Linked DNA regions of Kluyveromyces lactis. The protein of the gene in region 1 purifies or fractionates together with the protein of each later gene. This does not show direct contact. Links are inferred from orthologs where the notes say so. Each region holds a gene or a part of one and is shown on either strand. Other genes may lie near its edges.

What was found. Proteins that work in one complex are often made in the same cells at the same time.
Region 2: the proteins of PRE1 (region 1) and RPT3 purify together in Saccharomyces cerevisiae (affinity purification with mass spectrometry; 4 studies listed by BioGRID). This does not show direct contact. The link is inferred for Kluyveromyces lactis from reciprocal best matches to the Saccharomyces cerevisiae genes PRE1 and RPT3.

Annotation. Positions count from the first base shown.
Region 1 is NC_006038.1:1,023,524-1,026,553, reverse strand, and holds PRE1 (proteasome core particle subunit beta 4), read left to right. Parts: upstream 1-1,701; coding exon 1,702-2,289; downstream 2,290-3,030. Other genes in the region: DNA primase subunit PRI1, read left to right, coding at 1-1,310; DEAH-box ATP-dependent RNA helicase PRP22, read left to right, coding at 2,628-3,030. UniProt on the Saccharomyces cerevisiae protein: Non-catalytic component of the proteasome which degrades poly-ubiquitinated proteins in the cytoplasm and in the nucleus. It is essential for the regulated turnover of proteins and for the removal of misfolded proteins.
Region 2 is NC_006039.1:570,458-574,496, forward strand, and holds RPT3 (proteasome regulatory particle base subunit RPT3), read left to right. Parts: upstream 1-1,761; coding exon 1,762-3,048; downstream 3,049-4,039. Other genes in the region: SHE9 (She9p), read left to right, coding at 118-1,353; SMP3 (glycosylphosphatidylinositol-alpha 1,2 mannosyltransferase), read right to left, coding at 3,138-4,039. UniProt on the Saccharomyces cerevisiae protein: The 26S proteasome is involved in the ATP-dependent degradation of ubiquitinated proteins. The regulatory (or ATPase) complex confers ATP dependency and substrate specificity to the 26S complex.

The DNA.
Region 1 (3,030 bases):
TGCCATCCTTAGTTGACGCCGTTGAGCCTGGCTCTTCCACTGTACCATCGTCATCGACTACCCCATATGGAGGTGACACTCCTCCTTCAAATTATGGACCTAGTTCATCAGATATGCAATACTACTATCAACATCTGTATCCTTTTAAGCAGATATTTCAATGGCTGAACCATTCACCTAAACCAGGCCGTGATATCATCAATAGAGAATTCGCGATGGCGTTCAGATCTGGTGCATACAAAAGATATAATTCGTTCAACAGCGTACAGGAGTTCAAAGTACAGATCCAGAAGGCTAATCCAGATAGATTTGAGATCGGTGCAGTGTACAATAAACCGCCAAGGGAGCGCGACTCTTTACTTAAGACTGAGATGAAACCGATGGAGAAAGAATTAGTTTTCGATATCGATATGGATGATTATGATAGTTATAGAACATGTTGTTCTGGGGCACAAGTGTGTCCCAAGTGTTGGCACTTTATTAAATTAGCTATGAAAGTAATCAATTCATCTTTGGAAAATGATTTCGGTTTTGATGAGTTCATTTGGGTTTTCTCTGGTAGACGTGGTGCCCATTGTTGGATTAGTGACAAGAGAGCCAGGGTCATGACGGATTCTCATAGGAAGAACATGTTGGATTATATGAACGTGGTTAGGGATAGAAATATTGAGAAGAGATTGAATTTGGTTAGACCGCTGCATCCACATCTATCAAGATCTCTGGAGATTTTGAAACCTCATTTCGTTGAAATCATTCTAAGGGAACAAGACACTTGGAGAGATGATGAACTAGCGATAAAATCTTTGGCTACCAGTTGTCACGACAAACAGCTATCTGAGCAGCTAAAGAAACTATGGACCAACAAACCTGGAAGATCAAGTGAGGAAAAATGGAAGGACATGGATGTGATAGCGTCTCAGCTAATAAGTAGCTTTCCTAAACAGAGACAACACGATTATTTGCAGAGACTACGCGAGAGTAAAGAAGATATCATCATCCAAACGCTATACCCTAAATTAGATGTGGAAGTCACAAAACAAACCATCCATTTACTCAAGGCTCCATTCTGTATACATCCATCCACTGGTAACGTTTGTGTACCGATTACAGAAGAGTTCTCACCAGAAATGGCACCAAAACTTATAAAATTACAGAACGAAATGGATACTAACGATAATCAAGTGCAACGCACTTCACTACAACCGTACCTAGACATGTTCGGAAAGTATGTCAACAAGTTGGTCAAACAAGAATTATCCTCACAAAAGAGAGACCGTGAAGAAGATATCAAGTCGTCTATTGACTTCTGAATGCCTAATTCAGCTGTCTTGCATGATCAAGCACATATATACATATGTATATTTACAAATAAGAACAATACCTATTTATCGATACTACCTGAAACAAAACAGTAAAATAAAAAACATTCAACAAGTGTATTCTTAGTTACTATCACCCCACAATTGGCGCCTAGCTTGGGCTTCATTCCTGCGAATAAAACGCTTTGTCTGTTTCTCTCTCTGTGTATTGTCACCTTTCATACAGTGGAAAACCTTTAAATGATGTTTGAAAATGTTTAACTAAAATACAATTGACAAAAAGAACATACACTTACGGTGGCAAACCTTTATCAGGGAGGAAACAGGGAAATATAGGGTCTATCGACAGTGAAAAGAGTCAAAGTTTATACTAAATCTCCCAATGGATGTTCTATTAGGTATAAGAGTCAAGGATTCGGTGATATTGGCCTCTTCAAAGGCTGTAACTAGGGGTATTTCAATTTTGAAAGATTCAGATGACAAGACCAGACAATTACTCCCTCACACACTAATGTCGTTCTCTGGTGAAGCTGGTGATACAGTACAGTTTGCTGAATATATCCAGGCTAATATGCAATTGTATTTGATTAGAGAAAATTATGAATTGTCTCCTCATGCGGCATCGAGTTTTGTTAGAACAGAATTGGCTAAATCCCTAAGATCGAGGAAACCATTCCAAGTTAACGTATTAATCGGTGGTTATGATACCAAGAATGAGAAAGCAGAGTTGTACCAGATAGATTATCTAGGTACTAAGGTAGAATTACCATACGCTGCCCACGGTTACGCTGGTTTCTACACATTCTCTCTATTGGATCGTCATTACAGAGAGGATTTAACAGTAGATGAAGCCTTAGGTTTATTGAAGCAATGTGTACAAGAGCTAGAGCTAAGAATGCCAGTTGATTTCAAGGGGGTTATTGTAAAAATCGTGGATAAGGATGGTGTTAGGGTCGTTGACGACTTTTAGTGCAATCTTTCTAACCAGAATCAAGTACATACACATATTTACATCTTTTGTATAAACAAAACTCAAAGTAATATCTTATCTCAGAAATACCCAAGAGTCAAAAGCATTTTAAGTTTGGAGGTGTCGCTGGTAGATTAGCGTGTATCGATTTGTCTTCTCTCTCTTTTTGACGTTGATCAATATACAATTTTGAGATTTATTGACTTTATTGTAAACCATCTTATCTCATCTCATCTCAACAAAACATGAAAAAAAGGATAGGCAACATCACTGCAACAGCTTCGTCTGATCTGTCCTTTCTAGTACCTACCTAAGTTAAGGTTGCTGCTGCGAATAGCATGTCTGATGTCAAGAAGGAGATATGCAAAGTACTCGGTTTAGATGATGAGATAGTCGCTGATTTTATCATCAACATAAATAAGAACTGTACCACGAAGAATGAGTTTAAGAAAAAACTGTTGGAGATGGATCAGGATTTGAGTGCCGCTGTTGTGTCCGACATTTATGATGTGGTGAACAAGACTGCTGGAAGCACAGCAGCCACAAGGGTTAAGACTCTTCTTGCTGAGCAGCTTGATGTTCACGATGATGTTGTCACCAATTTCATTATGGACATTTGCAGTAAGAGCGAAACGTTGCTCAAATTCCGGGCAAAATTGAAAGAAATGGAGGCTGGTGTATCGGATAGTCTAGCTCTTCGTATTTTCAACATTGTTCATTCCTCAAATGTGGCTGTCAAAA
Region 2 (4,039 bases), on another chromosome or scaffold:
CAATCATGCCCACTATAAGTTAAAGAATATAAACACCCATAGTAAATTAGAGATCATTTTGATATTGAGCGATATAACAGATAGCTGACTACAACGTCGGGTACACCAGTTTATAATATGCTGGTCAGAAGAATAATCGTGCGACTTCCGAGTAGCCCTCGTGTTTGGACACAGTATAATCCTCGAATCTTTTATTCAACCGGACCGAATACAAATTCCACATTAGTTGATACTTGGAAACAGAAGCTTGGTGCATACTGGGAGAAATCACAAAATAAGGCAAACGAGACAGCTAATAAACTTCGGGAATACTCAGTGAATTTCAAAACACAATGGGACAAAGCTCAAAAATCTTTAAAGGATGCGAACGAGAGATTGTCTCAGATGGAAAATGACAGTAACGATTCAAAATTGAACTATAACGCTGAAGGTAAGATCAAGGACCTACCTAGCGAAAGAGAACGACATCGTAAAAAATGGGCTCGCAAAATGGAACTGTATTTAGATTCATTGCAAGAGACCATATTCACAGCCACCAGAGCTTTGAATGACGTAACAGGATATTCCAGTATTCAGAAGTTAAGAAATACAATTTCCTCATTGGAAGAAGAGCTGAAGGACACTAAAAAACTTGTCAATGAAGCAAAGGAAAAGTACGAGACAGCTATAAAAGCAAGATCGGGATCGCAAAAGGAAGTTAATGAATTGTTGCAAAGAAAAAATTCGTGGTCTCCTACTGACCTTGATAGATTTACCCAACTATACAGAGATGACGCATTGAACTCTCAAACGGAAGAACAATCTAAGGTAAAACTCGCAGAACTTGAGGCTAAGGAGGAGGAACTTTCAACGAATTTGTACCGAGCCATTCTTACAAGGTATCACGAAGAACAAATCTGGTCAGATAAGATCAGAAGAACTTCGACATGGGGTACATTTATTTTGATGGGAGTAAATATACTCTTCTTCGTAATATTTCAATTACTGCTAGAACCTTGGAAGAGAAGGAGGTTAGTCGGTTCTTTCGAAGATAAGGTAAAAATGGCGCTTGATGATCATCAAAAGGAACAAAACTTGGCAATTTCAGAAATGTCAAATACCATAGACAATTTGATGGATAAAAAACTTCAAGAAACTCAAACAAAACCCCATCAGGAGGAAGTTCCCAAAATCCTCACATTTTCAAATATAGTTGCTGACTTTAAGATATGGTGTTCTTTACAGTGGACAATATACTATAATAAGTTGGTAACTCTTTTACCGGAGACAACCGTCACTTTCACCAAGAGTTGTTTCTACTCGTACTCCACACTACTTTTATCATTAGGTATACTATTAGGACACTGCATTTGAGTATACACAGGTGCATTGATATACGTAGTGGGTAGCCTATCATGTTAACATTCTAAACAGTGTAGGCCCTTCGAAAAAGTTGTCTAAGAACCGAGATCACGTGACTGCAAAATGGGTGGCAAAATACCCAAAATGAGATTTAACTTTTTAATGAAATAATGCAATTATTAAACTGAACGATTTGACATAACCACTTTAGTGTGGAAGGGGATACGTTTATAAATATATGTAGGTACAAACACATATATCCGTGTAAGTAGTAAGACTGACCCCTTAGTTTATTGGAATTGCAGTATATTATTGGAACTTTTCTGTGTTTTCGGATACTTTCGTCTTTATTTGATCATAGTCTAAAGGGAGTTAGAATATTTACACACTACGGGAAAGACGAATTAAGATCAAAACATTATGGAAGAACTAGGTATTAGTACTCCTCAACCTGTTCTTAGTGTAGAATTTGGTGCAAAGAATAATGGTCTATCATATGGTTCCCTACTTGCTCAGCTAAATAATGATTCATTTGCCGTGGCGAATGGTAATTCAGATGTCTACTTGAAACTAAAGAAGCTGGAGAAAGAATATGAATTATTGACATTACAAGAAGATTATATCAAAGATGAACAGCGCCATTTGAAGAGGGAATTACTCAGAGCCCAAGAGGAAGTGAAAAGAATCCAATCTGTGCCACTTGTCATTGGTCAATTTTTGGAACCGATTGACGAAAACACCGGTATCGTCTCCTCGACCACAGGTATGAGTTATGTCGTAAGGATTCTATCGACTCTAGATAGGGAACTGTTAAAACCATCAACTTCAGTTGCATTACATCGTCACTCTAATGCCCTTGTGGATATTTTACCACCTGATTCAGATTCTAGCATATCAATCATGGCCGCAAATGAAAAGCCAGATGTCACCTATGCCGATGTTGGTGGGTTAGACATGCAGAAGCAAGAAATAAGAGAAGCTGTTGAACTACCCTTGGTACAGGCGGATTTGTATCAACAGATTGGTATTGACCCACCAAGAGGGGTTTTACTTTATGGTCCTCCTGGTACTGGCAAAACTATGTTAGTTAAGGCCGTGGCAAACGCGACAGAAGCCGCATTCATCAGAGTGAACGGGTCAGAGTTTGTGCATAAATACTTAGGTGAAGGGCCAAGAATGGTTAGAGATGTTTTCAGATTGGCAAGAGAAAACTCACCATCAATTATTTTCATCGATGAAGTGGATTCCATCGCTACAAAACGTTTCGATGCTCAGACAGGGTCTGATCGTGAAGTCCAACGTATATTGATTGAGTTACTTACTCAAATGGATGGTTTTGATCAGTCAACAAATGTTAAAGTTATAATGGCAACCAATCGTGCTGATACTCTAGATCCAGCTTTGTTAAGACCTGGTAGATTAGACAGAAAGATCGAATTCCCTTCATTAAGGGACAGGCGTGAACGTCGTTTAATTTTTGGTACTATAGCTGCAAAGATGTCTTTAGCTCCTGAAGCAGATTTAGATTCTTTGATCATCAGAAATGATCCTTTATCTGGTGCTTTGATTGCCGCCATTATGCAAGAAGCTGGTCTAAGAGCTGTCAGAAAGAACAGATACGTCATCCTACAAAGCGATTTGGAGGAAGCGTATGCTTCACAAGTCAAGTCAGGTAGCGATGTTGATAAATTCGACTTCTATAAATAATTTAATTTAATTGTGTTTGACTCAATACATATCGGTAAATGCAGTGTATATTGGAAAGTATTCCTAATAGAAAATAAGCCAGTAATATTTCAAACTATTAGACTTACGTTGTATAGCCTTAATCCTGGCTTTATGGTAGTCCAGTCTGGCATATCAATGTGATCTAAATCGAGATGCTGCTGCGTCTCCCATTCTGTGATGAACTTCCATTGCGACTGAAGGGGGGTCAATTTATCGAGAACAGTATTTGGCATGATTAGCTGAATTGAGTCTGTGTTCTCCGAAAATTTTGTAAGAGTTTTATTTAGTAACTCAATGTCACTACCTTTTAAATCAACAACATGATTTGATACAACATGCCAAGGTATATTATCGACAAACTCTACATTTTCCTTAAAGTTCGTGGTAGAAACCGTCAGATCAGGATTGGAATACATCCACGTCGGAGGAGAATATGTCTTCCACCAAATATGAACAGGGAATTCTTCACCTGAGAAGTAGGATATGAGAGGTATTATTCCTGCTTGATGGAATACTCCCATTATCAATCCCATGACAATATTAAAGACGAGCCATGAAGTTATGATGGTTTCTGCTTGAAAGAAAGTATCGAAATTGTCAAGGTTCATCGATGCACAAAGTAATGGTAGAACCGGTATTATAAAGCGTAATTCCTGATGTCTGAAAAGAGAAAGCATTAATATGCCAGAAATACAAGATAATGCAGGCAGTTTAAGCACAGCTTTTTGTGAAATAAAGAGTAGGATAATGGGACCGCAAATAAGAGGTAAGTTGATTAAAAGGTGAGTATATCGTGGGTGTAACCCATGTTGAGCAATATTATCCACCTTCATATTGTAAAGCAGATTATTTAAGGGAGCAATGACCCAGCTTTTACAGTCTGTACTGCTATACGCCTTCGTATCGAACAATATGATGAGCGCAGAGACTAGTGCCGTACTAATGGCAGTATATGCCACCCCAATCCAGT